7 linked regions of the Sus scrofa genome follow. The protein of the gene in region 4 interacts with the protein of the main gene of each other region in a biochemical or structural test. Links are inferred from orthologs where the notes say so. Each region holds a gene or a part of one and is shown on either strand. Other genes may lie near its edges. The genes, in order: ABCC4, SLC15A5, SLC22A12, PDZK1, CFTR, SLC34A1 and RPS6KA1.

Evidence for each region.
Region 1: the proteins of PDZK1 (region 4) and ABCC4 form a complex in vitro, tested with the Homo sapiens proteins (2 studies listed by BioGRID and IntAct, with this or other methods). The link is inferred for Sus scrofa from reciprocal best matches to the Homo sapiens genes PDZK1 and ABCC4.
Region 2: the proteins of PDZK1 (region 4) and SLC15A5 interact in a test that uses a peptide from one of them, tested with the Homo sapiens proteins (2 studies listed by IntAct, with this or other methods). The link is inferred for Sus scrofa from reciprocal best matches to the Homo sapiens genes PDZK1 and SLC15A5.
Region 3: the proteins of PDZK1 (region 4) and SLC22A12 form a complex in vitro, tested with the Homo sapiens proteins (2 studies listed by BioGRID and IntAct, with this or other methods). The link is inferred for Sus scrofa from reciprocal best matches to the Homo sapiens genes PDZK1 and SLC22A12.
Region 5: the proteins of PDZK1 (region 4) and CFTR form a complex in vitro, tested with the Homo sapiens proteins (2 studies listed by BioGRID and IntAct, with this or other methods). The link is inferred for Sus scrofa from reciprocal best matches to the Homo sapiens genes PDZK1 and CFTR.
Region 6: the proteins of PDZK1 (region 4) and SLC34A1 form a complex in vitro, tested with the Homo sapiens proteins (2 studies listed by BioGRID and IntAct, with this or other methods). The link is inferred for Sus scrofa from reciprocal best matches to the Homo sapiens genes PDZK1 and SLC34A1.
Region 7: the proteins of PDZK1 (region 4) and RPS6KA1 interact in a test that uses a peptide from one of them, tested with the Homo sapiens proteins (2 studies listed by BioGRID and IntAct). The link is inferred for Sus scrofa from reciprocal best matches to the Homo sapiens genes PDZK1 and RPS6KA1.

What each region holds. Positions count from the first base shown.
Region 1 is NC_010453.5:64,134,891-64,139,182, forward strand, and holds part of ABCC4 (multidrug resistance-associated protein 4), read right to left. Parts: intron 3,181-4,292; coding exon 3,030-3,180; intron 2,617-3,029; coding exon 2,497-2,616; intron 1,424-2,496; coding exon 1,313-1,423; intron 413-1,312; coding exon 312-412; intron 1-311. UniProt on the Homo sapiens protein: ATP-dependent transporter of the ATP-binding cassette (ABC) family that actively extrudes physiological compounds and xenobiotics from cells.
Region 2 is NC_010447.5:56,344,220-56,348,965, reverse strand, and holds the start of SLC15A5 (solute carrier family 15 member 5), read right to left. Parts: upstream 3,096-4,746; coding exon 2,735-3,095; intron 1,258-2,734; coding exon 1,035-1,257; intron 1-1,034. UniProt on the Homo sapiens protein: Proton oligopeptide cotransporter.
Region 3 is NC_010444.4:7,556,952-7,560,483, reverse strand, and holds the end of SLC22A12 (solute carrier family 22 member 12), read left to right. Parts: intron 1-133; coding exon 134-348; intron 349-822; coding exon 823-931; intron 932-1,152; coding exon 1,153-1,356; intron 1,357-1,884; coding exon 1,885-1,948; 3' UTR 1,949-2,662; downstream 2,663-3,532. UniProt on the Homo sapiens protein: Electroneutral antiporter that translocates urate across the apical membrane of proximal tubular cells in exchange for monovalent organic or inorganic anions. Involved in renal reabsorption of urate and helps maintaining blood levels of uric acid.
Region 4 is NC_010446.5:99,652,031-99,656,322, reverse strand, and holds part of PDZK1 (Na(+)/H(+) exchange regulatory cofactor NHE-RF3), read right to left. Parts: intron 2,611-4,292; coding exon 2,392-2,610; intron 1,768-2,391; coding exon 1,477-1,767; intron 1,472-1,476; exon of another isoform or gene 1-1,471. UniProt on the Homo sapiens protein: A scaffold protein that connects plasma membrane proteins and regulatory components, regulating their surface expression in epithelial cells apical domains.
Region 5 is NC_010460.4:28,629,670-28,633,457, forward strand, and holds part of CFTR (cystic fibrosis transmembrane conductance regulator), read right to left. Parts: intron 1,827-3,788; coding exon 1,654-1,826; intron 1,016-1,653; coding exon 910-1,015; intron 1-909. UniProt on the Homo sapiens protein: Epithelial ion channel that plays an important role in the regulation of epithelial ion and water transport and fluid homeostasis. Mediates the transport of chloride ions across the cell membrane.
Region 6 is NC_010444.4:80,560,270-80,565,303, forward strand, and holds the start of SLC34A1 (sodium-dependent phosphate transport protein 2A), read right to left. Parts: upstream 3,112-5,034; 5' UTR 2,961-3,111; intron 2,055-2,960; 5' UTR 2,034-2,054; coding exon 1,925-2,033; intron 1,774-1,924; coding exon 1,624-1,773; intron 1,540-1,623; coding exon 1,411-1,539; intron 1,340-1,410; coding exon 1,196-1,339; intron 305-1,195; coding exon 193-304; intron 69-192; coding exon 1-68.
Region 7 is NC_010448.4:83,923,348-83,927,639, reverse strand, and holds part of RPS6KA1 (ribosomal protein S6 kinase alpha-1), read right to left. Parts: intron 3,261-4,292; coding exon 3,180-3,260; intron 3,005-3,179; coding exon 2,925-3,004; intron 1,514-2,924; coding exon 1,407-1,513; intron 143-1,406; coding exon 105-142; intron 1-104. UniProt on the Homo sapiens protein: Serine/threonine-protein kinase that acts downstream of ERK (MAPK1/ERK2 and MAPK3/ERK1) signaling and mediates mitogenic and stress-induced activation of the transcription factors CREB1, ETV1/ER81 and NR4A1/NUR77, regulates translation through RPS6 and EIF4B phosphorylation, and mediates cellular proliferation, survival, and differentiation by modulating mTOR signaling and repressing pro-apoptotic function of BAD and DAPK1.

The sequences.
Region 1 (4,292 bases), on a different chromosome or scaffold from region 4:
AGTAACCATAAAGAAACAAAAATAAACCAGTCCCTAAGAAATGAGCTCATATCCTCTCCAGAACCTCCCTCCCACCGAGACATTTATTATATTTGAAGACAGTTTGTGATGAATATAAAACCTGCTGACATGGCATCCAGAAGACTGAGAAAAAGATGTATATATTTTATTTTACATTAACTTTAAACAGATGGGAGTCTGTTAGCTACAATGGAAAATAACGGTTTCAGCTATTTTACGTGAGAACTGCATGCAGGTCGTTCAATAGAAAGAAGAATTGAAAAAGCCAGGAAGGCTACGATAGACATCACCATGTTCTCCACTTCGGCGCTTTGCCTGACGCACCACTGGAACATGCCCATGAGCGAGAGGGCGTAGGACAGCGCCAGGCCCACCTGCCCGGCATCCAAAGCTGCAAGAGAAGAAGCAGAAGAAGAATAACATCAAGGCCACGCTTACCCTCAAGCCCGGCCACTTCCATCACTTTACCAAGACTCCCTTGCGATTTTTAAATCATGTGCGTATGACAATAGCATTACTTGTACTTTGACTATCTACGGATGGACTCGATGATACGAAGGGGAAAAAAAAAGAAAAACAGACCAAAAAATCCAAATCGGAAGAATGCAGAAAGCTATTCAATACACTTGCACAGCACCACACAGGTGGGGGAATCGTGTTATTATTCAGACTTGCGTCATTATGGTCTCACTGATAATCTCACTTTCTACGTCCAAAGTAGCCGCAGCTGGAAACCACGAAAAACAAGGCAATGGGTTCTAAGAACACCAGTGCTTTGAAAACTAAAATAATACTCTTGACTGTTCCATTATTCAAGATTGTAATTCTGGGTTGTTATGACGGAATAGTTAGGGACGGTGACTTCATGCCAGGCGCGTCAACGCCTGCTCTTCTGGTACCCACAGCAGTGAGGGCAGTGTTTTCTCTTAGAGAATCTTTCTCACCTCAGTCTATCAGGCACTTGCAACCGCAAGATCCAAGCAGCGCTTCAGCTGAATCCTAAAGCGCTGAACCTACACAAAAAGCAAGTGTGCTTCTCTCCTCCCAAATATGGTCAGTTTGCTAAACTGGTGTAGACCTCGACCCACTCAAAAAAGATAAAAGGATAAAAGGTGTGCTTAAGACCCAAATGACTCCTCCGCCTGAGCCCCACACTACCAATGCCTGAACACATGTCATGGGGACCATACAGCCTCTGATGTTCGACTAGGTAGCAAAAGTTTCCCTTAATAACTGTAAATGCAGTTATATAAACTGCGATCGTAGCACAGTTATTCACATCTGTACTCACTTTTTGACAGAATCAGGGACCCGAAGGCAACAACAATGACAAACATGGCACAGATGGCATCCAGACGCACGGCGAACCATCGGGACGTGGTCAGAAACAAGAACCAGGCCTCTGGATTTGTGAAGCGGAATAAGGAGAGTGAATAAGCAGAAACACCATCTTAACCGCTTTGAGTAGGGGAGAGCTCTGTGCTAGGTTGAGCGACAGAAGATTGTGACACAAAGTAGGACAGCCAAGTTGAACATGTGAGGAGCCTGAAGAGTCCAAAAAGCAAGATTTTGACACAAGAGGACATGTGGGACACAGAGGAATCAGGCCAGGGGCCTTGTGAGACGCAAGCACGGGAGACTTCAACCCACGGGGTATAAACAGAAATATAACTGTAATAAAGAACACGGACAAACGGTACAATGGGTACATTCGCTGCAGGGCTGGGCCTCGGTGTCAGGCTTATCCTCTCATAGTGGCAACCGTTCCCAGTTCTCTGAGAGCAGAGCGCAGCAGCTAACAGGATCTGCACGTGGCTTGCAAAATGCCTTTCTTAAGCTCGAAATACAATAAAGATTGGAAAGGTGGGCCAGGATTTTTACAGACTTAGGGGAAATTCTGAAATTTCTACCTAAGGAAAAAATATCACTGCTGCAAAGAATAACATACATCAAGTGGGCGGAAACTCGGACTATGAGGCAGTTCTTTTCCTCAGTCACTTAGGCCACCTTGCATGCTTTGCAAAGAGAGGGGCAAACTACAACCTGGGGCCAGGAATAGCCCATCACCTACTTTTGCAAATAAACTTTTACTGGAACACAGCCATGGCCATTTGTATTATGTTTGCCTTGCTTTTCTGCAACCTGATTAGATACAACAGAGACAGGGTGGCACACAAAGCCTAAAATGTTTACTTTACTGTCTGGATCTTTTAAAAAAAAAAGGGTTACTGAATGCTGCAACAGGGTCCACAAAGCAACAGGGCACCATGATGCAAGGACCGTGCAAACCAGTCAGGGGAGTAAAATAGCGGTGTGACTGGGGACACGGAGGGAACGGAGAAGATGCTTTGAGGAAGGGGTGGGGGAGGATGTGCAGAGGCAGGCAGCGCAGAGAGAGAGCCACCTGAGAAGGAGGTCAAGCCGCAGAAGGCAGCATATCCCAACTCTTGAAATTATTTCTAGAAACGTACAGACCTGAGTGCAAATCCTGGTGAGCGTCGAACAGCTCCTGAAACCTCTGTTCAGCTTTGAACGCCCGGATGGTCCAGAGTCCCTGGAGAGAAGACGATAAGTGCGAAAACACCGGGCTCCGTGCTGGGGAAGCAGAGACACGACAGAGAAGGTCAGGGAGCCTGGATGCCAGGAAACAAACGACCTCCCCCACCCTGGGGTCGCAATTCCCACCAAAGGGCACACCGGGAGCTTCCTGGGGGGCTGCCTGGAGGAGGAGGGATTACACCCCTTCTGGAAAGGAAGTAGATACAGAGAACTATGGAACACAATATACCTCTTTCTTGGCTTGGTTTCTAGAAAGTTAGTATTAATTTGCAGCAACCATCCAGTCAAGGTTTCTGACATAAACATTGTCCAGATAACTTCTTTTAAACATAACAATTCTACTTCATGATTTTGTCTTAATAATGATGGTTATTTATTAATATTTTTACTAATTACAGCATAAATGGAAGCTAGTTTGCATTGTCATCCCAGAGGGCCCAGGTGCTCACTTGTAGCTTCCAGGCGTTTCACATCTCGTGATGTCTGTAAGAAATATCTCCGAAGAACAAAGAAAATGATGCCAAGGGGAATCAGAGGAATCGCAATCCAAGGAATCACCGCCACCGCGACTCCCACCACACCCATCACTTGTAGAAATGTCTGAAATAAAGAAAATAGATACAGAGCCCTCTCTATCAAACATTCTTATCAAAAATAAGTGTTAATGGGTTGATTTTTTTAGGCTTAAACTCCTTTCCACCAAAGGCAAGTCTGAAAAGTAGGGGATGCGTTCCTATCCAAGAAAAAAAACAAAAATTTAGGTGGTCCTCATGTTTATTGCAAGCTTACTATGTGCCAAACATGATTTTTAACAGATGGACTATTTCAGACTCAGACAGCAGGACCTGAGTTCCAAATTATGAACCAGTAGGTATTACTAGAGCAAGCAGGTAACACAGATGAGGAATCCAAAAGCCTCAACTATACCTGTATGGATAAAGAAAGGGTTAATTGCAAATTCCAAGACCAGGAAAGGGAGAAAAATTCAAATGTAGACCTCTGGAAATGAGAATTCCTCTTTCTAGGTTGGGTTTTTTTGGTTTGTTTGTTTTTGTTTTTTCTTTGCGTACTTAACATTTGCTGAATGTGCAGGGCTGTGCATTCAATACTTCACTCCTGTGAACTCACCATTCCTCGCAGTACCCTTACTAGTAATAGTCCAGTCTCATTTTATAGATGGAGACACTGAGGCACTGGGAGAGGAAAAGCAACTTGATTGAGACCACAAAGCAGAAGCCATGGATCTCAGGAACCCACGTCAGAAGCCATTATGATAAACATAAACTTGACCCCGACATACAGGGCAACCTTCTATCATTGTGCTATGTATTTTAAATATTCATTTCAAACAATTCTTGGGTGAAACCTTTCTCCTGAAAATACGCAATGATCTTTCACAACTCAGAGCCATTCGTATATGTATGTATATGTGTGTGTGTATACATATTTCTTTGCTTTTTAGGGCTTCACCTGTGGCATATTGAGGTTCCCAGGCTAGGGTTGAGTCGGAGCTACAGCTGCCAGTCTACACCATACCACAGCCATTCTAGATCTGAGCCACATCTGTAACCTACACCACAGCTCACGGCGATGCCAGTCCTTAACCCACTGAGTGGGGCCCGGGATGGAACCTGCGTCCTCATGGATACTAGTCAGTTTGGTTTCCACTGAGCCACAACGGGAACTCCCTCAGAGTCATTCTTTACTTTGTA
Region 2 (4,746 bases), on a different chromosome or scaffold from region 4:
TAGATAATATTTATTCCAAAGTTTTTTTATTTAATCACTTAATATGAATTTTCTGTAAATATTTTGTCTGATGTTGCCTATGCATTGCTTTTATCGACTGCTAACATTGATGGAAAGACAGCATATTTTAGAAAATGTTGCTAACCCATTTCAAAGAGAAGAGGAAGCAAAAAACAATATATATATGTACATATATGTGTATATATGACATATATATATATATCAGATCTATTTGACATCTAGTGATCAATAATTCTACTAAATGCTGAAATACTCAGCCTCAAGATCAAAATTTCAATTTTTTCTTGGATTTTTTTGATAAAAATTGGTTCCTTCAAAACACATAAAACTGTACAAGAACTCACTGGGAGAGACAAAGATTCATAGATGGTGGTTTGGTTTTCATGGAGTATAAATTCTTTCAAGAGTTGGAGGTAGAGTGGATGTGAAATAGAGGTGCTAGTAGATGTTTTAACAAATTGTAAAATACTTCTTCAAGCATTATCATCTTCTCTCTGAATTTATAATCCCTGCCTTCTAAGTCTATTACCATATAGACGTAACTAATCATAATATCTACTGCTTATTGATTACTTCCACTGCTACATTCTTGGCCAGCAATACACATATTATCACTTATGATAAAACCCAAGAAGAGGTATTATTATAACTCTTCAGCAGTGGTCCAACTCACAAAGAACAAGGTCAGGCAATTTTGTGAAGTGGAGTTGAGATTGCCGCCAAGGCCTATTTGGTTCCAAATCCACATTCTATTCATATGAAAAACCACTTCACACATGTTTACCTGATGCTGATAAGCTGTGTGGGTCTATCCTTAACTCATAGGCTCCCATAATTACTGGCTAAATCCTTGTCACTACCCAGGTATTGTCCCACTGTCATCTACCCAGCCCACTCGACGACAAAGGTTAAACTACCACCATCAAAATGGGACCAGAGAGCAAACGATGAGAAACGCCCAAAGGGAGAAGAATGTCATAAACCTGTTTTCCCTCCTAGCCCATGCTACCTACCAGTTAAAAACAGACATTCGATTCTGGGGTCCATACTCCTGAAGACGATAAGCCCCCAGTGGACAGACAATGGCTCTTACTCCTCCTGTGCCAAGGCAGAGGGCCACAAGGGCTACGTGAAACAGCCTGTTCTGCTCCTTTTTTGGTATGTTGTTAATCATATGGTGAGTGCCTATGTAGAAATCCTCCAAGGGAAAAGCAGCCACAGATAACAAAGCAGTTCCTAGAGATAAAGGAAAAAGGGAATAAATATGCATAGACCATTGACTCAACAAACCATATCATAAATAAGGCGTTTCCTCTGAACAGAGCCTCATTATGTGATTGTCTTATTAAAATATTTCATCATGGCAATTCTGGAGGTAATACAATTTTCCTCAATGTAAATATTTCCCTCAATATGTGTTTTTGATGAATCTATAGAGTCCTGGTTTTTTTCCCTTCAAACTTGAGCTATTTTTTCTCTCAAAATGTTTAAGCAAATTGTGTCTATTTTGACAAAATTAAAACAACTCAGAAATACCTGATGTGAGAGACTAAAGATGTTTTTAGTCCCTCTCCTCCCAGAAAACCACTGGTAAGAGTTGTTTGTTCTTAATCAATGGAATGAGAGAAAACTCAATGATCTCAGACACTCAGAAACTTGTTAAATAAAATGTTTTAAGAACATTATTGTAGAGGAGATCATAGCCTCTCTTTTCTTTTTCTATTTCTCTTTTTCCTTTTAAAGCCCTTTTATTTCTCTCATTTCTCATGCAATGCCTTGAAGCCACACACACAGGTGAGGAGCCCGGGGTGGGGGTTGTGAGGTGAGTGTTATAATACAAGTTGGGAGGAGAGGAGTTTTTTAGTAGTTTTCTCCATCACCTAGACCAGCATCCTGAGATTTTCTCTTGTCTCTCTAAGCTATCATTGTGATTGTTCATCCTGTTTATTGAAGCACTTCCCCAATGTGTTCATCATAGTTTCAGTAACTCCTTGTTGTCTAGAAGAGCAACTTGGACTTTCCAGCCTTAATTTCTAGACTGTTCATCAACTTGATCTCTATACCTTATCAAACAAACTTGCTATTTCCCCAACATTGCTTGCAATCACTTCACTCCCAAATTTTTGTAGAGATAACTCTTGTTCACTATGAAAAGAAGCAGAATGTAGTGTTAAACTCACTCACTCATTTTGTTTTTTTAGCATGTAGCCGTAGTTCATAATAGGGACATCATGTTTTCAAATGCAATCTTAATTACTATATGGCAAATGGAAAGCCTGCCTTTTGATGAAAATGTTTCTCAATTAGTCTGCATGAACTTCGAAACACCTTTTTAGCACATTTCACTTTAGCTGTGAAGCAAATGAACTTCATATTTTCACACAGAATTTGTCACAAATTTGGGCTTGCAGTAAGAAGAAGGGAAAGGAGTGTGTTCTATAGAGTAGAGAAGAGAGACATGTGAAGAGATAATTATTATAAAATATAATTAGTGCAATAATAAACATATCAAAGTATCCTATAACACACACACACACACACACATACCAGTGTCCCTCAAAGAATACAGAGACTAAGATAAATTGAAACAACAGTCTTAGCTCATTTATTACACTTTACGCTAAAAGGAAGTGGGAATAACATAAACCAAATATTCTAACAAAAATACCGTCAAATAAGTTGCAAAGCAATGCAGTCAGAAAAGGGCACTCACCTAGGAAATGCAGAAATAAGCAAATATAGACCAGTTTGTTTCTTCCCAGGCAGATGTCAGCAAGCCATCCTGCAAACACAGGGGTAAGGATTGATGTCCCAATAAAACACAGGTTCAAAATGGCGGCCTGATAATTGTGGTAGCCAAGCTTGACGGTGCAAAAGGGGATCATATTGCAGACAACTTCAAAGAAAGTGAACCTCTCACACAGCTCCACTAGAAGCAAACAGATTCCAAGCTGAATTTTTTTCACAGAGTATGATGAAGAGAAATAACCAATATGGCTTACAGTTTCCTCCTTCTCAATCCTGTGATTTAAAGATACTTTCTCATCGGTGTTTTTAAAGCCTATAACAGACATGACTACCCTCTTTGAATGCTATGTATGCTAGTGGTTTGAACCTGGTGATTTTTGCCCCTGCCCCTCTAATGAAAAAATAAATAAGATCTTTGCTTTGAATTTCACAACTCTGTGCTAAAGTTTCATAAGGTTTTTGCACATTAATGTTGTTCATTTTAATGATCCAGGAGCACAGGAGAGGAGACACGAGTGTTTAAACCATGGTAGTTCAATGTAGCCCAATCTGATTTGTTTGTCTAATTACTTACAGGCTAAATTAGGCTCTTCCTCCAAAATTATATTGATTTACATGAATCTAGTACCATAGGTGTGGAAACTCATCTGCCTCACACTGATAAAGGTTTAAAAACAGAAGCAGAAGAAGCAGTTTTTCAGGAGAATTTGAGCACTAGATCAAGAAATAATTTGAGTCTAATAATTTCTGATACCTTAATTAAACAAGCCAGAACAGTACTAAGAGATAAAGCGTGAAAGGAAATCTGTTTTGAGGGGGCAGGATACCTTATCGTTATTACATTTCTTGTTATTTTTGGTTTGAATTCTGATAAGAAAGCTAATTAGGTAACAAAAGTGCTAGTACATTTAGGTAACAAGCAGAGTTTGCAAGAAAGTAATTTAAGTGTACTAATGAAAGGAGAAAATATTAAACAAAAACCCTCTTCCTTTAAGTTGACCCCTTGCTTGTAGAACAGCCTCTCAGAGGAAATCAGAATCAAAAGGTGCTATTTGACTCATTATTAGTCAGCAACAGGGGTACAGCAACTATCCCATATACATGCTTTGGGGAATATTGAATTTGGAATCACCCTGACCCTCCAGCTGAGTGAATGGATGTTAGCATTCTATTTTGGAAAGCGGGTGAGCACAAATTAAACTTAAAAAGCATCAGTAAAAGAGAACACTTTAACAGTTAGGGCTTTAGCTGCAAGGACATAGGAAGACAAGGGAATGGAATTATTGGGTCAAAGTCATAATCATTCAAAACATAGGGGGTGAGTATAGGAATGTTATTTTCATGTTGCAATCAAAAGCAAAAGACTGATCAAGGCTTTTGACTCTGGTTCATATCTTTGACCTGAGAGATTGGGAGCAAAACATTCTGTGTTGACCTCTTCTAAGAGTCTCATTGTAAAGGCATCTGTTTTCATCCTCTCAGCCTTGCTTCTCCCCCTCTTCAACACCCCGTTTTTCCTTTGTGTAGAGCGATCATGCAATTTATTATGCAAACTTGGACATGTTTGTGAGTGAAAGCGATGCTTCTTATTCCTGAAAAACAGATACACCCTGGGGTTTGCCTAGGGCAAACCCCAGTGTGTGGTCATCCTACCTTTGGGGGATGGCTTCCATCTGTAACAGGAGATCCTGGTGGAGCTTTCTTCTGGTCTGGGGATCAACCCCATGGTCTAAGACAGTCTTTTTGCTGTTTTCCTGCAGGAATTTTAATCATAAGTGGCATAAGATTAGACATGATGGAGGCTGTTTAGATGGCAGCTCCCAAAAAGGGATTGAGAAGAAAGGGACGGAGAAATCAGGGCCACCCTGGTCTTTATCCTGCAGTGGGGCCATGATTAGATGTTTTATTCTGTAAAGGGCTCCATTTCCAATCAATTTTGGTTTAAATTAACCCCCGTTTGATATCTGTGGCTTACAA
Region 3 (3,532 bases), on a different chromosome or scaffold from region 4:
GGGAACCTGGGAAATGTAGGCTGCCGACCACCCACCACCATGCGAGCCTGCGGAAGAGGGTGGAAACAGGTCTGTAAACAAACCAGCAGCCCGATCTCCAGGCTGACTTCACCTGCCCACCCCTGCCCTCCAGGTTTGCCTTCGGTTTCACCTTCTACGGCCTGGCCCTGGACCTGCAGGCCCTGGGCAGCAACATCTTCCTGCTCCAGGCCCTCATCGGGGTTGTTGACATCCCGGCCAAGATCTGCACGCTGCTGCTACTGAGCCGCCTGGGCCGGCGGCCCATGCAGGTGGCGTCCCTGGTGCTGGCGGGGCTCTGCATCCTGGCCAACATGCTGGTGCCCCACGGTGAGCGGGCAGGCCTGGGCGCAAGAGGCCATGGCCAAAGGCTCCCTCCGTGGAGGGCTTACGCATGAAGAGAGACCCTTGTCCCCCTCCTCTAAGGGCCCTGGACTAAGCAGGGCCCAGGGAGGAAGGAGGCTCTTGGGGCCTGGGGGAGAGATGGTGGTGGCTGGAGCAGAGTTGGAGGGAGCAGGCAACATCGTGAACATTTGTGGAGAGAGAATAAGAACTCGGTGATGGATCGCAAGGAGAGGGGAGGGCAGAGAAGTGGAGGGTCTGGCTCCAGGTGTCTGGGTGGGGAGCAGACGGGGGTCGGGGGCAGAGAATGCGGCCATGGTGTCACTTAGGACACAGCACATGTCAGGGATCTGGGGTCACCCAGGTGGAGGTGACTGCAGACATTTGGAAGGTCAAGGAGAGAGTCCCCATTTGACCCCAGGGACCTGCCCACGCCCCCACTAACCTCACCTCTATCCACAGAGATGGGGGCCCTGCGTTCAGCCCTGGCGGTACTGGGGCTCGGCGGGGTGGGGGCCGCCTTCACCTGCATCACTGTCTACACTGGGGAGCTCTTCCCCACCGTGATCAGGTGAGCCCCAGGAGGGGGGCTGAGAGGGTGCGGTGGGGGTGGCCTCCACCCAGATCCGGTGTTTGGGCCCCCAATCTTTCCTTCACGTGGTCACGGTGCTCCCCAGGTGCAGCCCAGCCCAGCCACTGTGCCTCCTAGGGCTGAGCAGGGCTGGGTCGGAGTGAGAGGTCAAGGCTATGGGCAGGCAGTGTGGCCCCTCACAGGTGCATCTGTGCCGGCAGGATGACCGCGGTGGGCCTGGGCCAGATGGCAGCCCGAGGGGGAGCCATCCTGGGGCCTCTGGTCCGGCTGCTGGGCGTACACGGCGCCTCCCTGCCCCTGCTGGTGTACGGGGCGGTGCCGGTGCTGATTGGCCTGGCTGCGCTGCTGCTGCCCGAGACCCAGAGCCTGCCGCTGCCCGACACCATCCATGACGTGCAGAGCCAGTGAGTGGACCCAGCCCCGGGACTGTCCCCTCCTCCCTCTAGAGAACCCCAGAACAGGGCAGGCCTGGCCACCCGCCCCCGATGCTGGACAGAGGAAGAAGCAGAGGCCCAGAGAGGGACAGGATTGGCCCAGGGTGGCCCAGCTCATCCTTAGGAGAGTGGGGACCAAGGGCTGGGGCTCCAGGCTGACAGCGTGGACTTCGCCCTCCGCCCTTCCTTCCACTATGGGAGATCTGAATGGCCCAGCTTGCACCTGCTGCACGTGGAGAGAGGTCAAGGGGAGGGGCGTGTTGGACCACTTTGCAGTGGGGAGAGCCGAGGGTGACCACCTGTTGGAGGTCCTGGCAGACCCCTACTCTACTGAGAAAGCCCCTAGATGCCCCATCCCTCCCCTGCGATGAGCTCAGAGACTCAGTCCTGGGTCCCCGAGGGCAGGGCAGCAGTATCTCCTGAGTCCTCAGGATGGACTCGGTCAAGGGTCAGGGGTCGCACCAACGAGACATAACCCTCCCTGTCTTTCCTGGACAGGGCCGTAAAAAAGGCGACACGTGACACTCAAGGGCATCTCGTCCTGAAATGCACACGATTTTAAGCCTCCTGTGAAGCCTGCCAAGGGACATGGGAGGAGGCTCTTCTCCGAGGAAGGAGAGCAAAGGCCTTGGCTTCCGACTTGACTTCCAGAGGGCCCGGGGCTGCCGCTGCAGCCGAGCCAGCCTCCCCCTGCTAAGGAAGGAGCCACCTCCAACACAGAAGGAGCAAAGGATGCTGTGACTGGCAGGAGGCTGCCGGGCGCCCAGCTCCTTCAAGGCTGCAGAGAGGAGCAGAGCCGGACTCTGTGCCTCCCTCACTGCTCGCTGCCCCCCGAGCCTGAGCCCGAGGCCCGAGGTCAAAACCTCCCTGCTTCTCACCCCACCCGGAGGGCCCCGCCCAGCTCCTCAGCGTCACAAGAAAGATGCCTCCGGCCCCTCCCACTTCTCGCCACACTCCAGCCACGTGCCCACTCCCTTGCCATCCCCGCAGCCGTGTCTTCTGCCCAGAATGCCTCTGCCACGGTTGCCACTACCTGACAAACTCCCACGCAGCCTCCCAGACCCAGGGCAATGGCTTCGTTCTGGGGCCCCAGGCTCAGCCCCAGGTGCTCATGCAATTGTAGCGCGGCCATAGCCACATCCCTGTCGCCCCACAACCCCAGCCTATGAGCTCCTAGAGGGCTGGGGTGGTCCTCCTCTGCGTGTCCCCAGCTCCCACGCAGAGCAGAGGGGCACTGGGCAAGAGAGAGAGCAAATAAAGGAACCGAGTCCAGTGATGAGCCCCCAGGGTCTGCTGTCAGCGCTTGCACGCACACACAGGAGAAGGTCAATGGGAAACGGGAAGAGGCTCCCTGCCCCCAGGAGACAGGATCACTCCGGGGCTTGGTCTTATCTGCTGCAGGCCCTGTGCCTCCAGGGGGAAGGGGAGCTCGTGTCCTTTAGCTGTCTGCCTGTGGCCGCCCCTCACTCAAGACCCCCAGGACAAAGGGAGATGATGTTTGGAAAGATGCCCAAAGGTGAGGTTGTGCCAGGCTGCCGTAGGCGATCTTTCTCGTCTGCCTGCTGCCCGGCCAAGCCCCAGATGCCTTTCTTAGCCTTGCTTAGCATTCTGGGGACCCCAAGGTGTCCAGAAGGCAGAACCCAGGGCTGCAGGAAGATGGCCATTCTCCTGCTTCTGGCCAGGCCAGCAGCTCACCCAGGAGGGCATGTGGGAGGAGGAGTGCCAGGCACCAGGGCTCCATACTCACCTCCAGGAGGACAGTGTCCTCCCACAAGAGCCCAGCACTGGCTGAGCTTGTGTTCCCTCCCCTGGGGGCTTTCGTGGCCAGAGCAGGTCTTCAAGGTCAAAGGCATCCGCCAGACTTCGCTGCCAGCTTCCTCCCCGACCCCTGCCTTTTGTCCCCTGCGGGTGGAATCTCCTGACACAGCCCTGCAAATACCAGTTGAGGAGCGGGGTGCCTGGAATTTCAGCTACCCCCAGACGCTGTTTGGATGATCGTGGGAGTCATTGCCAGGCCAGCCAGATCCCAAGGAGGCCACGTCAGGCCAGTGTCAAGTTCAATATCAGATGCATAGGATGAAGGAACCAAGAGCACTGTGACCACCTCTTACACAGGAGTGCACCAAGTCAGTGGCAGAGGCCAGGA
Region 4 (4,292 bases):
TCCCCAAAATGCATAAATTGAAATCCTGTTCCGCAAAGTGATATTATGAAGAGGTTGGGCCTTTGGGAGGTGAAGACATAGCTCTCATGACTGAGATTACTGCCCTTATAAAAGAGTCCTCCCAGACCCCTTAGCCCCTGCTACCAGGTGAAGGCATAGCCAGAAGTCAAGAGCCTGCAAGCGAGAAGACCTTCACCAGACACTGAATCTATCAGTGCCATGATCTTGGACTTCCCAGTCTCCAGAACTGTGAGAAATAAATGCTTGTTGTTTATAAGCCACCTAGTCTATGATATTTTGTTTAGCAGCCCAAACAGACTAAGCATGTGTTCATTAAAAATGAGTATTTGGGGAGTTCCCGTTGTGGCTCAGTGGTTAACGAAACCCATTAGGAACCATGAGGTTCCTAATGCGATCCAGCATTGCTGTGAGCTGTGGTGTAGGTTGCTGACGTGGCTCGGATCTCACGTTGCTGTGGCTATGGCGTAGGCCTGTGGCTACAGCTCCGATTAGACCCCTAGCCTGGGAACCTCCATATGCCGCAGGAGCAGCCCTAAAAAAGGCAGAAAAACAAACAAAAAAAAAATGAGTATTTGGGATTTCCCTGGTAGCGTGGCAGGTTAAGGATCCTGTGTTGTCACTGCTGGGGCAAAGGTCGTTACTATGGTGTGGGTTTGATCCCTGGCCCTACAACTTTTGCATGCTGCAGGCATGGCCAAAAAAATAGTTTTTAATGAGTATTTTTTTAATATATTATCAATCAGTAGAATTAATGTAATGGAAAGTGTATAAAGCTTTTATTAGCGTTTTGGCTTTGCTATACATTCCCTTTATGAACTTGGATAGGTCAGTTCGCTTTTGGATAGGTCAGTTCTCAAGTTCATCTGTGAAAGGTTGAGACTTACCAAGGAATTTATCTAATCTAAGTACATATAGAATAATGCTTACTCTTCCCTAGTAATAGACTTGAATAATAAGAACAATACTGTCTCTAACCACCACCATTCATTTCACTCTTACCATGAACTAGGCACTGTTCAAAGCACTTTAAAAATCTTATTTAACATAATCCTGATAACAATCCTACAAATTATCCTTATTTTAAAGGTGGGGAAAATGAGGCACAGAGAATAAATCCATTTGGCCAAGGATGATAAATGGCAGATCCAGAATTTGTACGTAAAGAGTCTGATTCAGGTTCTTCTGGTGGTTCCTGTTATAATTTTGATAAGCTTCTGTTATTTCTCGATTTATGAACTTTAGGCAATTACTGTCAATTCCACGCAGTGAAAAATAAGAAGTGTGTTGTCTTTACCTTCTCTCCCCCTCAATAACTGGATGTGCTAGTTCTTGTTACACTGTAATTTTCTAGTATTTTAGGAAATCTGAGATAAACATAGATGTGTAATGCGCTTATTAAGGACTTTACTATACTCTGGTTAGTCAGATCATTAAAAGAAATGTGTCATCACTCACTCTTTCTTTTGCCGTGTGCGAGTCATGCTCCGATTCCTCCAGCGTTCCTTCTTTAGAATCAGGGGCGTCATCTAGTGGATCAGCCATAGAGGAAACAATAGGGATTTTCTTAGCCTGGAAATAATCATAGGCCTTCTTTCCACAGACTAGGAGCGTGACATTCTTGCCACTGCTCTGGATTCTGTCCACCACCTTCTCATAGGGCTCATCCAGCACATTCACTCCGTTCACTTCAATGATGACGTCCTCATCCTCCAGCCCAGCCAGGTCAGCTGGGCCGCCCTTCTGTACCTGTGAGCAGAAGTCCTGAGTTATCACCTCCAAACACGGACAACAGAAGATTAGACTAGCTATTCTTCAGAGGAGAGGTGATGTTATTTCACCTTGACATACAGAAGCTGAGAATGGTGCTCTAGTGCTTTTCTGCTTGTAAAAGCTACAACTTCCCCACTCAAATGAGTAGTGTCACAGTGGTTGAATATCACATTGTATGTCTTCTGGGGTTGAAGGCATTAGGTTTCATAGGTCCCCCTTCTTCATTCCCAACTTGAGAGCTTTCGCAGCAATCATCTCACTGTCAGTCCCTGCAGGGTAGGGGCATTATGCCAAATGCACAGAAGCAAACAAGTATCACTCCCAGTCAGAGTTGTTAGTGACTGTCAACTGCAGTCGTGCCAACTTACTCTGTTTAAAGTAATTAAAGAGACAATTATGTGGAACAGATGTCTAGGAAACAAAAGATGTGAGCTTGGGACATGCTAGCAACTATCTTAAATGGTACGGGACCGTTATAGCACATATTTGAACCCAAGGAGACCCTCAGTGTACTTTTTACTGAGGCATCAGTGAATGAGAGAAACTGAGGCCCTTCTAACTGGCTGTGTTCATTGGGCTGCCAGAACCAGATCACCATACCTCTTTGACGAACGAGCCTGGCTGACCCCGAATCGCATTTAAGTGAAAGCCATAGCCATCTTCACCTTTAACCAGCCTGCAGAGTTTAGGTTTATGATCTCCCACTTCCTCTGTAGTGTCTGGACTGGAGACCTCCAGAGGAGCAGGAGCAGGGGCCTCCGTGACAGAACCATTGGGCAGTTCTTGACTTTGATAGTAGAGAAAAGGAGAAATACGAGCCTTTTGAAAACAAAGGGGGAAAAAACATTAGAAATTGCACTTTAAGTGTGCTGGTTTAATTTACAAGGCGTCATACATGTTCCACTCCTCTTCCAGATACATCTGGTTGTGAGCTATATAATTATGACCCAAACAGAAGAGATATAAAGCAAAATTGAGCTTGTTAAGGAGTAATGAGCATAAACATGTAAACAAATGTATGTATACATAAAATAAAAGCAGTACAGAATGTTGTACAAGAATCCAAAAATAAGTCTACCAGAATTACTGGGTTTTGTTTCCATGATATTGAGCGAGTCACTGAACAAACTACAGGCGTTCTCCTTGCTGGGAAATTATCAACATTGACTTGCCCAGTATTCTGGGCAAAGTAGGTTCACCTGGCCCTTCCCCTTCAATAAGGTGGTCTTCAGAGCTTAAACACATTAGAGAAAGTAAAACATGAGACAGTATTTTTATCACTATCTGAAGCACAGTAATTAATTGGGGAGAGGGGTAGAGGGTGGTGGCAATCACACAGTTGGTCACATACGGTAACAAGTTAATTCCAATGCTTTGCTACTTGGTTCTCTCACCTCCCCCTCCAATCTTGAATACTGTTTATTATTGTAACCATCACCTGACATTTCTGTTATACTAGACTCACTATCTTTAAATACTTCTAATCCATCTCAACTCTAGACAATCCATATGAAGAAGGCAGTGATTGTCTTAAATGCAAAAAGAGGTAGAGAACAGGAAGCATGTGACTGGGTTTTTTGTTGTCATATATATATATATATATATATATGAATATGAGAGGGAATAAAGAGTTTAGCTGGCTGTTGGTTTTAGTTGTGAGGATTAAAAGAGTATATTTGGGTACCATAAGGTCTAGGATCAGCAGCTAAATTGCTGCGCACAGCTGTCCAGGACATTTGTTGGCAGTGAGTAGAAAATCAAGCAATTGAAGATGAGTACAACATCCTCTGCCCTTGAGCTTACTGTTCAGCAGCCTGGCTGCAATTGGATTTGGGGTCCTGGTATCATCTGTCCTACATCTGCCTTTCTAAACAAGCGTAGCACCAGCACAGAACCTCCTAGTTACCCAGTTTAGCTAATAACTTCAAACATTTCAGTGATATACTTGCAAATGCTCCGCATTTCTTTCTCTCTTTAGAATGTGGGAAATTATCAGAATGACTCATCACATGCAAAAAATGCCTCTGACATCACTACCCAAACAAGCAAATCAACCGTTATCTGACAGTAGCAGCTAATATTGAGGCCAAGTACAGTAACATTAAACACTTACTGAGCTTTTACTCTTTCTTCATTCAAACATTTGGGTGTCTAGTAGATGTCAGGAACTGGTTTAGGAGTTGTATTCACTGATATATATCAAAGATCCAACCACAACCCACCTACCTACCTATGGAACTTACTTTGGGGGGTATAGGGTAGTGGGTAAAGAGGGAGAAAGAAGGTAGAGACAGTCATTTTTCTAGATCCAAATTCTCTCATTTTAACCAGAACATTAAATTATAGTTAAGTCATTCTGTCATATGACTAGGAAGTGTTGAAAAGGACTTCATACCGGAATTCCTTTTAAACAGCCACAGCAGTGACCTTACGATTTTTGCTTGACCTTTTCCACAAACTGGGAGCCCCCCACTCTGCAGAGCTTGTTCCTGGAAGCTTCA
Region 5 (3,788 bases), on a different chromosome or scaffold from region 4:
TGCTTCTTCAGAGAACTTTAGAGGAACTAAGGGGCCTTGGAAAACAAGAGTTATTCATGGTAGATCCCTTATGCATTACCTTAAAAATGACTGTGAGTCCACAGTACCATCAAGAGTTAAACCTCTTCGACGCTGGATTGGAAACTTAGCAATTCCAAACAGGTCAGGATGTGCCTGGGTTTGCGGCACCTTTTGTACAGGCTCAAGTTGAACCGGACCACAGTCGGGCAAGAGGTTGTGAGTCGGTCCCCTAACGTGTCACTTGAAGCTTAGTAATAATAGCGGTAATAACATTCCTCACCAGGGAAAGCATTTACCTCCAGGAGCCTCAAAAGCCTTAACAGAAATGAGTCCACCTCATCCTCAGAATTTCCTTGTGACTAAACCTGAGGGAATTTGTAAACATCACTTGAAAGAATCTGTGACAGTTTTGAAAGTACAATGAGAAGGAGGGTGGGAGAGGCACTAAGCTGAGCTCCAAAAAATGGCTAGAAAAATGAAATAAACCTTTCACTACTGCATTAAATCCTACAGCAGATTGGAAGATGATCCAGGCCTGTCCTCCTGGATCCCATCCAAGAGAGATTTAGTTACCGAAAGCATCAGGACTTAGTCTTTTTCATGACTTGATCCCCAAATAAAAGACTCAAAAAGTATACCTGTTCCAATTTGTTAATGTCACTTAGTACTATGCCGCTATTTTAGAGGTTGCTGAATTCCAACCTCACATTATTACACAGATCAAAGTAAGAAACTTGAGCAGGTATTTTAAGTAAATCTGGGAGCTGTATGCCACATGTTTTAAGGAAGAGCTTGTACGTTGCTGTGACTTGCAGGAACTTTCACATATGAAATTATTATCAAGAATCAAAGGAGACATAAGATCCTAGGTAAATTATAAATACTCACCAAAAATCGTTGACATTCCAACATTGCTTCTATCCTGTGTTCAGAGAGGATTACTGTGCAATCAGCAAATGCTTGTTTCAGGGTTCTTCGAATGATTTGGTACGTTCTAGAAAAGAAAAAAAATACCACATATAACATTACAGAACAATAATAGTCTGTCTCTATCCTTGATAACATACCTATTGTTCTATCAATTTAGTTCTTTAAATCACTCATTTTTCCTCAAATACGTTTAACATAATGTTGACATAGAGTCAGTCACAATCAGCTTTCCAACCATGACATAGATTCTAAGCTTTCATAAATAAATAAGAAAAATATTTGGAAAAAATTTAGAAATTAAAAAAAATTCCCCAATAAATGTATTTTTCATTATGTCAAATCACTAGTAGTTCTTTATTTTGTGCTATAAGTATTTTCTAGTGTATAAATGGGATAGTAAGGAAAACCATAAGGATCCAACTATGCCTAACTGGATATTTCATCACACACTGATAAGGGGGAAGACTTTGTATGAAATTCCAAATTCACACTCAGAAGAGAACATGTGGCTCTTACACTAGGAAATAAACACTTGTGTTCACGTCAAGTAATAACTGTTAAACTGGGTCATTATTTCATATCTAGAGGGTGGTCCTCTACTTACAGACATGATAGCCTGATAGAAATTTGTGTCAATATGAAGCAGGCTTCAATGATTCCACTCCCACCGTGTTATTAAAAAGCAGGAATTCTGAAACTCACATGGGATCCAAATGAGCACTGGGTTCATCCAGCAGCAAGATCTTTGCTTTACCAAGAACAGATCTGGCCAAGCACATCAACTGCTTGTGGCCGTGGCTTAGCACACAACCCCCATCTACAAGGACAAAATCAAGCTTCCCAGGAAACTGCTCTATCACAGATCTGAGTCCAACCTGCATAAAAGAAAGATGAAAAGCACTGTGCTTAGGAGGAGTTCACATTCTACAGGGTTAAACACACTTAAGAGGCTGACAACCTGAAAAGATACACAGGAGTTCTCAAAGTTTAAATTTCATACCAACCCACCACACTCCTGCTATTTGGGTTTAACTGAACAACAGACTCTGCATAATCTTGCAGCTTTAAAACATTGGTCTACGGATTGTTTCAGCTGTGTACTTTTTCTTTCATGAGATTTTAAATGAGTGCCTATTATGTGTCAGATCCTCCAAAAGGAATTGAAGAAATGATAAATGGTCCATGGCAAAGATTAGGGTTTGTAAAAACATACCTAGATAGTTACAATACAATTGAGTGCTTTCTAGAAAAGATATATATAGAATGCAGTTACTCTCAGATTCTTTTATACTACTTTCCATTTCTGTCATAATAGACCATGAAAGGTAGTATAAAAGAATCTACTGAGAAGGTACATAAAACAGCCTGTGGCAACTCACTCTTCATCTCTTTAATTTGTACAAACTGATTTTAAGAAATTGATGACACTATAAAGTAAAAATAACTGGAGTTGAAATAGCTGTATGTTACTGGAGATTTAAAGATGCTTAAGTGTTGGGGTCAAATATGAGAGTTGTGTTAGGGTCAATGGCTTATTTTTTTAAGCTGGAAAGGAAAATAATTGGTTGAAAATGCAAATGAGATATAGAAACTCATTCTTTCCAAAGAAGATAAAAATAAAACCTTGCCTCATCACATCACTTACTCAATATACATTGATATATATTTTGTGCCAAGTATTGCTGAGTGTTTGAGGGCTAAAGAGATAGATAGGTAATTATATCCTATCTTGGGGGAAGTCTGGATTTAGTATTGGAAGGTACGATGCACTCCCACCTATCTGTAACACAGGCAGAGTTAATGGCCACAAGATAATGGCCTTATGAAAGACATTCATGAGTTCAGTGATGAATTCATGGATGGCCCACATTGCCATGTTTGTTCAGCAAATATTAACTGTGAGCTCATGATATGTATTGCAGACAATACCCCTTTCCTTGTCACGGTTTCTCATGAAAGAAACCTCACTTTGTGAAAATTCATTAATGTTTGAAAAGAGTTTCTGAGATGGTAGGGGGTGGAAACATATTAATTAAGCAAAGGGGACTACTCTAACATATCCTGGCAGACTCCAACATAAAATTAATTCTGGATCCAAGGAGCTGAGAATGGGAACAAGGACTACTGGGCAATAAGCTGGAGGACTTGTTCTCTTTCTTTCTTCATCTTTTGTTTTCCTTGGCTTCAGCCTGTGAACCTACTACGTCTCTCCCCTCTTAACACAACCCCCCTTCCCCCCGCTTGCCTCCAGCTTCTCCTTTAGCTGTTATTTAATATCTACCCCCTTTGTCATCTAGAAATCTTAAATAATGACTATGCGCCTGTTGTCTCCACTGCCTGAGACCACAGAACATTTTTTTCTTCTTCAAACATCTGTTCCTTGGTTTATGAGAAACCGTAACCTCAATGACCATTTCTTCCTATTATCTTGTGTAGACAACTCTCCTTCTTCCTGCCCCTTGAGTATTAGTTTTCCTCATTCCCTACTTTCCAAATGCTCCTTCTGAGATCTCATTCATTCTTGGGGTATCAACTACCACCAATAAGCCAATGATTTTTCATCTTTCTCTCCAGCCCTGGACCTCTTCCCAAATACTTCTGATATCCTCCACCTCCTCCTTGCTAATCCTATTACAGCAACCCTAGTCCAGGCCCTTATTATTTCAAGCTTCAGGCTGTAGATCTCAAGTGGACAATTTGTCACCTGACATCCTCTTGGGGATCCTTCTAAAAGAGAGGTTTGACCATATATATATCTCTGTTTTACATCCTGTTGTGGCTTTCTTCATACAGAATAATCGAACCCTCTCACGTGGCACCTAAGGCATCCAGAATTG
Region 6 (5,034 bases), on a different chromosome or scaffold from region 4:
CCAGGGGCAGCAGGACCACAACTGAGAGCCAGTTAAAACAGTCGTGCACGGTGGCCCCCGCGAAGGCCCTGGGCAGGGAGGCCGTGTTGCAGGATAGGCTCAGAGCCAGGATGTGCTCAGCCTGGGGGCTCCTGGCCTGTGGGACCACCCTCCTCCTACAAGGACAGGCCCCTCACCGCTCTACCCTCTTACCGCCGGAAGTCAGTCCTGTCCCCCGCCTGCATCAGGGCCACGATGGTGTTGGTGACCGAGGTGCCGATGTTGGAGCCCATGATGATGGGGATGGCAGAGCTCACCTCCAGCACTGATAGAAGAGCGTGCCTCCTAGCTAACTGTTCAGGGACTACCCACCTCCTGCCCCACCCCTCCTGCCAGAACCCCTACCCACATCCAGGCCCATGACTCTGCCCAGCCTTGGCCTCTGCGGCTGTGTGTTTATGTGTGTGCATGCTTGTGAGCCAGTATACATACACTGCACCTGCATATGTGTAAACGTGTGCGTGGGTATGTGTCCACGAGGGCATGGGTCGTATATGCAAATAATATGCAAATGTGCTTGTGTGTGCTCATGTGTCAGCTTAGCTAGTGCCCAGTAATTCAATCCAACACGAATCTAGATGTTGCTGGGAAGGAATTGTGCACATGTGATTTGCCTCAACTGTTGATTGACTTTAGGGAAGGAGATCAACCTCAGTAATCTGGGTGGGCCTCATCCAATAAGACTAAAGGCCTTCAGAGTAAAACTGAGGCTTCCTTAGGCAAGAAAAAGTTCCAGCTGTGCACTGAAACAGCAGTTTCTGCCCAGGAGTCTCAGCTTGCCCTTGCTGACAACCTGCACTACAGATTTTAGACTTGCCCAGCCAGCCTCACAATCAAGTAAGCCAATTTCTTGCAATAAGTCATAGATCTGTATGTGCTTCCTGCAGCTTTGGTTTCTCTGGTTCTGTTCCCCTGATGGATGGAATGAGCTACTGTGTGGTGACATGAAAGTGTGCCCTCCTGAGGCTCTGTTCCTAATCAGCCATTCTTCCCAGCTCCTGGGATATCTCCTCCTGGCTGAGATTCCAGGCCATGCTTTGGAGGATGGAGTGCAAGATGCCAGAGCTGCCCATTGCCCTTTGGCCCCCTGTTCCCACTCCTGCCCTTCCCATCCCAGCCCCCTCCCTCTTTCCCTGGCCCTGGTGGGCCAACTCACAGCCAGAGGAGACCATGCTGACAATGATGGATGTGGAGGTGCTGGAGCTCTGCACCAGCACGGTCACTAGGATCCCCACCACCAGCCCTGCTACTGGGTTGGACAGGATGGCGTTGTCCTTGAAGATGTCGCCAGCCACCTTTCCTGGGGAACATGAGGCAGCATTTTCCGAGACTCTTCAGATCCCTTCCCTGGTCCCCCCACCACCACCCTACCTCCAGCCAGCTGGAAGGCTGAGCTGAGCACGTCCAGGGAGCAGACAAAGAGGTAGAGGAAGGCAAGCATCAGCGGCACCTTGAGGAGCATTGAGCCAGCCTGGCGCAGCTTCTGGGCCAACCCTGGCTCTGGAGACAGGCCAGCAGTGAGCACAGTGGCCAAAGTCTGAGTCAGTGACTGGCGGCCCACCTTCCCCCCTCACCCAGGCCCACCTGGCTTCTGTTCCTCCTCCAGGGCCAGCTTGGAGGGCAGCGGGTCATGGCGCTCCAGAACCTCCCCATAGGAGCAGCCGTGCTCGGTGAGGGCCACAGGGCCCAGGCTGGGGAAGGCATAGGCTGAGGTCCCTGGGATCCTGTGCAGGACTGGGGAGGGAGGCCGGTCACGAACTTCCTGAGGCCCCGTGTCACTTCGGAGGAGGGGGGAGGGGGGGTGGGGGGGAGAGAGGAGGCCTCACCCGGGATGTGGGCGACCAATCAAGGGCAGGCAGGGACTCAGAGTAGGAATAGCACTCACCCTGCGGGCTGGGCACGTAGGCAAAGGTCGCCCCACGCATCATGTGCCCCCCGCGGACTGGGAGCGGGGAGATAGCCGGGCCCCCCAGCCTCTCTCCGTAGGACATCATCCTGGGTACACTCTGTGGGCCCTGCACATCAGGGGGCCCAAACTGAATGACAACTGCTGTGTCACAGAAACACACACACACAGCCATTCCCCCCCACATCCACACACCCATTCACTCATGTGCACAAACACCCATGGTGTGTGATCCCAAATACACACCCAGAAAAGCACACTCAGGTGGTTGTCACACATTTGGGGATTCGTTCATTCAGTCATTCGTTCGTTCATTCATTCATTCAGCAAGTATTTATTTACTCTATCTCAGGCACTGAGCTCAACGCCAGGGTACAGCTGGCTAATACAGATGCAGCTCTGCCCCCATGAAGCTCAGTGTCTAGTGGGGAGACACATGTCAATGAAATAAGCTCTCAGATAGATGGAACATGACAATGGGAACAAGTGTCCTAATGACAGATACAGGTGCCACCAGAGTGCTTCCTGGGGCCAAGAGATTCACCCTCACAAGTGAAGTGCTTTCCCCATCCATTCCCACCCCCAAGCAATAAAAAAATGTTGGTGATCTTTTTGCCATGAATGAGGCTCAGACCAGGACTGGTTTAATTAAGCAGAACCCTCACCCTGTCCCCAAGTCTGGGAAGACCTCGGCTTGCCTTAGGCCCTCCTGAACTGCCCCAGGAGTTCTCTGCTATTGAGGTGGGAGTGCCCCAGTCTGCTTCAGGACCTCCTCCCTCCACCCCAACATTATTCCAAGGGTCCTGGCTATTAGGATTGGGGGCAGGTATGCAGAGCTGAATGCCGGGCCCTGGAAGAGCATGAGTCCTTTTCACTCTGGGGGAGTGAGCCAGGCTTGGATGGGACTAAGATGTGGTAGGGGACAGGGACGGAGGCATGGTGAGGACAGAGGTGAGGGGCTTGTTTCCACCTAAGTGTTGGGGATGGGTTTAGGATGTGGGGACCCTGGACTCACCTTGGTGTTCTGTGTTTCAGCTCCTGTTCAGCTGCTCAGGGAAGCCCTAGGAAGGGCTGGGAGGGACCAGGAGGGAACCTGGGACCCTCCCCTTTATACCCTCGGGTCAAGGGCAAAGTCCCTAGAACCCTAGCTGCTCTCCCTCTGTTCCCCCGATTAACCTAACCCCCTAGATTCCTCCCAGTTAATTGCTAATCGTCTGCTCTGCAAGGGGGAGTCTGTGGTCAGGCTCTCTCCTCCCCCGCACAGATACTCAGCCTGAACCATGATCCAGATTCAGCAAGGAGAGCACTGAGGCATCCCACACCCCCAGGCAGAGACCCTAATATCACTCAGGTGCCTTGTTCCGAGGGTCCCCTGAGATTTCATGGCTCTGGCCCGTTTTCCTTATTCTTGGCCTGACAGTGCTCCCCAGGGAATGGCCCAAACACCCTTGAGCCTTGCCTTCCATCAGGGTGTCTCTGGGTTTGTCTGTGTGACTTGAGTGGCATTTGGAAAAGAGGGAGAATGTGAGGGAGGAAGCAACAGAAGACACACCCAGAGAGGCTATTTGTGCTGAACTGTGGGACGTCCATGACCACAGATCCAGGATGTGAGCCTGGAGAATGTGAAGCCTCTGGCCAGATAGGGCAGGGCCTGGTCTGCACTTTAGAATGGTCTTGGGGTTGGGGGTGGGGTGGCGTGGTATGTGTCAAAGGGAGCAAGTCCAGGGTGGCACAGCAGGTTAAGGATCTGGTGTTGTCACTGTAGTGGCTCAAGTCACTGCTATGGTGAGAATTCCCTGGCCCTGGAACTTCCACATACTTCGGGCATAACCGATAAAAAGGCAGGGGGTGGGAGGTGTGAGTCTGGAAGGAGAGATTGCTGATGTGATGGTCCAGGTGACAGATGATGAGGTCTGAATCAAAGTGGAAAGAAGAGGGATGGAGAGGAGAGAATGCATCCTAGGGATACTTGGTGTATCTTTTTTCTTTTTCCTTTTTAGGGCCACACCCGAGGCAAATGGAAGTTCCCCATCTAGGGGTTGAATCAGAGCTGCAGCTGCCAGCCTATACCACATCCACAACAACACCAGATCCGAGCTGCCTCTGTGACCTACGCTGCAGCTTGTGGCAACACTGGATCCTTAACCCACTGAGCGAAGCCAGGGGAGGGTGCGAGCAAGAGGAAGTATGTAATGATTGGGTTTCTGGATCAGGAAGCCAATGATGACACAGGTCTGTTGCAGAATTCCTGAAACCCAGACAGGAGGGTTAAGGAGACTTTTTTCTCTTTCTTGGGACCTTGGAGCCTGAGTTTGGGCTTATGATCACAGAGAGATGAGAAGGGGGTGCCCCTTCTAAGGGATTAAGATTTTATCAGATCAGGAGTTCCCATTGTAGCTCAGCAGTTAACGAATCCGACTAGGAACCATGAGGTGGCGGGTTTGATCCCTGGCCTCCCTCAGTGGGTCAAGGATCTGGTGTTGCCATGACCTGTGGTGTAGGTTGCAGATGCAGCCCAGATCCCAAGTTGCTGTGGCTTGTGGTGTAGGCTGGCAGCTACAGCCCCAGTTAGACCCCTAGCCTGGAAATCTCCATATGCCTCAGGTATGGCTCTAGAAAAGATACACACACACACACACACACACACACACACACAAACACGATTTTATCAGATAAAAAAAAATCAAAAGCATAAAAAACTTAAAAAAAAAGTAGGGAGAGTTCCCTGATGGCTCAATGGGTTAAGGGCCAGCATTATCATTGCTGTGGCTCTGGTCACTGCTGTGGCGGGAGTTTGGTCCCTGGCCTGGGAAATTCCACATGCTGCCAAAATAATACATATTTTATCAGATTCAGGAGTGGTGGGTCAACAACTCCTCCTGGTTCACCAGCCACCCTTTGATCCCTCAGGACCCCCTGAGCTATGGCCCTTTGCAACATCTTACACATTTTAGGGTCACTCAGACCCAGCCTTCTCCATCAAAGAGGATGGACATTTTTGAATAGTTCCACCTTAAATATGAGTGCTTAATTTACAGAACTTTGGGGAGTTATCTACCTCATAGAGCTCACAATTGACTCTTTGTCAA
Region 7 (4,292 bases), on a different chromosome or scaffold from region 4:
CACCGCCTCTCAGGAAGAACAGATCCCCTAGGACTCAGCCCAGGCCCATCAAGAGCCCATCCTGCCCTCCCCTGAAGCCTGAGGGGCAAGCGCCCTCCACTCACCAGTGAGCTTGATGTGGCCCTCCTCATCCAGAAGGATGCTGCAATGGAGAGATGGGAGTCAAGACCCCTCAGCCATGGGCCCTTGGAGGGTGCTGGTGACACCTTGGGGGCTGTGGAGGTTGGGCCCAGCCCAGAGCAGGTGGTCCACCCAGGTCCATCTGATGAATGGGTGGGTGGAGCGGGTGTTGGTGGTGCTGTGCAGGTGTGTTGCCTACCTTTTTGTTAATTCTTCTTTTTTTTTTTTTTTTTTAGGGCCACACCCGCAGCATATGGAAAGTTCCCAGGCTAGGGTCGAATTAGAGCTGTAGCTGTCAGCCTATGCCACAGCCACAGCAATGCAGGAGTCGAGCCGCATCTGTGACCTATACACCAGCTCATGGCAATGCTAGATTCTTAACCCACTGAGTGAGGCCAGGGATCGAACCCGAGTCCTCATGGATACTAGTTGGGTTTGTTACTGCTAAGCCATAATGGGAATTCCCTCTTGCTAATTCTTGAAACAACTGTGTGAGGTAGGTACTTTCATAGCTCCATTTTTTTTTTTTTTTGGTCTTTTTTTGCTATTTCTTTGGGCCGCTCCCTTGGCATATGGAGGTTCCCAGGCTAGGTAGGGGTCTATCGGAGCTGTAGCCCGGGGCCTACGCCAGAGCCACAGCAACGCCAGATCCGAGCCGCGTCTGGAACCTACACCACAGCTCACGGCAACGCCGGATCCTTAACCCACTGAGCAAGGGCAGGGACCGAACCTGCAACTTCATGGTTCCCAGTCGGATTCGTTAACCACTGCGCCACGACGGGAACTCCCTCATGGCTCCATTTTTTTAACAATGGGGAAACTAAGGCTCAGGGGGGTGAAATAGCTCCCCCTGGTCATAGAGCCAGGCTGGTGGAGGCAAGATTTGAATTTGGGTTTGCCTCACTCTAAAAGCCAAGTCTCATTCTACCTCAGCACCTGCCTCTGGCTCCCAAGTTCCACTTAAGGATATTTAGATGTTAAGGAAAATTCTAGAAAGGATTATATCAAGGAATATCCTTTAATGGGGGCATCTCAGATGTCACACCAGGGTAGCAAAATGGTAGGTAACACCCAGCTACCGAGGAGACTGGTCCTTGGTAATGGCAGCGCTAGTGATCAGGCAGCCCACTCTGCTCCACCCACCCATTCATGGGGCAGCCCAAGACAGGGACACTTTCTTGGGGAGAGTCACACCCACCCCTGTTAGGCTGGCTCTGTCCTAGGAGAGACCCCAGGGCCTGCCTCTGAACCCTAGGGAGGCCGGGCGGGGCTGGGCCTTCACTCACTTCTCAGGCTTCAGGTCTCTGTAAATGATGCCTAGGCTGTGCAGGTGGTCCAGGCCCAAAGCCAGCTCGGCCAGGTAAAACTTCACATCCTCCTCCGTGAACATAACCTGCAAAAGGCAGGAGGGAGCTTCAGCTGGATCGCCTCTTCCTCGGGAGCTGGGGCACTGCGCAGTCAGCAGCTTCCTGGTCCTCCTTAGGGATTCCAGGGCCACACACCCTTCTCTTTATGAAGGGGTTTGCAGAACGAAATGACTAATATCCAAGTCACTCATGGGAGCATTGAAATGCAAATAGCAAAATCCTGGAAACAGCCCAAGGGTCAAGCAGCAGACTAAATGACTCCCCCCACATAACGGAGTGCTATGCAGCCGTAAACCAGAACAAGGGTTCCTCCATGTTCTGATACGGATCCATCTCCAAGACATACTATCATGAAAAAAGCAAAGTACAAAACAGTATATATGTAAGAAATATATATTGTATGCAAGAAAGTAGGGGGTCAGGATTCAGAACACAGGCTGAATGGGTTTGTATTTCCAAAGAAACGTGGGAAGCTTAGGCAAGAAATGAATAAAAATGTTTACCTATGGTGGGGGTTGGGGGTATGGGGCTGGGGTGGGAAGAAGACATCTCAATGAGTATCCTTTCTTTTTTTTTGGGGGGGGCGCTTTTTAGGGCTGCACTTGTAGCATATGGAGGTTCCCAGGCTAGGGGTTGAATCAGCTGCAGCTGCTGACCTACAACACAGCCACAACATGGGATTCGAGCCTCGTCTGTGACTTACACCACAGCTCACGGCAATGCCGGATCCTTAACCCCCTGAGCGAGGCCAGGGATCAAACCTGTGCCCTCAAGGACACGAGTTGGATTCGCCAGCCACTGAGCCATGATGGGAACTCCAACATTTTTCTTGTTAATCATGTATTACCTATTCAAACATTAAAATAACATTTAAAAGTTTCATTTTCTTCTAAAGTTTAAGTTGTATTAATGGTCCCCACTCCTTTTTGTTGGTTGTCCGCACAGCATACAGGTGCAACCTACACCACAGCTGCAGCAACGCCACCTGTGTTCTGGGGCTGGAGAGACGCCACCGATCCTGTTGCACCACAGTAGGAATCCCAATGGCCCCATTTTTATATCTGGTTCAAATTATTTCACATCAGTTCAAGATCCTTTTGGTTAACAGTGGACATAATATTAAAGTATCGAGCTTTCTGGGTGGACCTGGGCCTCTTGCCATCCTCCCAGCCCCACCCAGGGAAGCCCTGAAGGAATGGAAATAAAGAGGTGAGAGCCACCCTCAGCTCCCCGGAATCAGGGTGGCATCAGATCCAGAGCCTGATTCCCTTCAGCCCAACTTAGGGGAAACTCTCAGAGGCTTTGCCAGTGAATGGCTTCTGTCTCAGGGTGGGTCAGGGTCTTCTGCGCAGGCCTGGGGAGAGGTTGAGAGGCCTCACTGTGCCACCAGCCCCATCCTGGGTCCCTCTGGCAGTGGGCCCCAGGGAGTCAGCTCACCTCTTTGGAGAGCCGTGTGAAGAGGTCCCCGCCACGCAGGAAGTCCAGAATAAGGTAGAGCTTGCCCTCGGTCTGGAAGGCTGGGGAGAGGGGAAAGGCAGTGGTGGAGCCAGCTGGGCCCTGGGCCCCGCCCTCCGCCCCAGCTCCCTGGGTGTCAGACGGGGGGGGGGGGTCCTATGGGGAAGGCAACAGCCCAGCAGCAAAGGCAACGGCTGGCAGGTGGAGTGGGAGCTCAGGTACTGTCTGTAGTCTCACCGTAGTGCAGCTTCACCACAAACGGGTGGTTTACGTCAGCAAGGATGTCTCGCTCCATCTTAGTCCGAACACGGTCACGCACTGGCCAGAGGACGAAGGCAGTTACCAAGGGCCTGGCCACCCAACACAGCCACCCCCCAGCCCTGGCTAAGAAGGGCTCTCTTTTCTACTTGTTCCTCACATCTCTTGGCAGTGTCCAGGGCTGGGCCCTTGGTGCCCTGCCCATCTCTCTAGCCCTGTCTCTCACCAGGCCCCAGGGAAACTATTCAGTGCAACCAGTGTGAGCAACCTGTTCCTTGTGGGCCCTCAGTCTCTGCCCCTGCATCTGCCACCCCTGCCCCACCCCCGGGATGCCTTCAGCAGCCTCCTCTCCATCTGGCATAAAAATCCCCAAATCCAACCTGGAGCAAGCAGATTCCCTGGGCCTGAAATTCAGACCCGTGGGTCTGAGCAGGCATCCCACAGACACTTTTGATTTGTTTTGTTTTTTTAAAGAATAAACGTCCTGGACTGAGGGTTTGGGATTGGCAGGTGCACACTGTGGTATATGAAATGACTAGCCAACTGGGAAAGTCACAGAATTCCCGTAAAGCACAGGGAATTCTACCTAACGTTCTGTGATAATCTATACAGGAAAAGAATCTGAAAAAGAATCTGAAAAAGAATGGGTGTGTGTTTATGTTTAACTGAATCACTTTGTCGTACAGTAGAAATTATCACAACATTGTAAATCAACTATACTTCAATAAAACTTTAAAGAATCGGAGTTCCCGTTGTGGCTCAGTGGTTAACGAATCTGACTAGGAACCATGAGGCTGTGGGTTTGATCCCTGGCCTTGCTCAGTGGGCTAAGGATCCAGCATTGCCGTGAGCTTCGGTGTAGGTCACAGACATGGCTAAGATCCCGCGTTGCCGTGGCTCTGGTGTAGGCCAGCGGCTACAGCTCCGATTCGACCCCTAGCCTGAGAACCTCCATATGCCACAGGAGCGGCCCTAGAAAAGGCATAAAAAAAAAAAAAAAAGCTGAAAAAAAAAAAGAATAAAAGTCCCAGGAGTTCCTTGTGGCTCAGTGGGTTAAGTATCTGGTGTTGCCACTAAAGCAGCCCAGGTCGC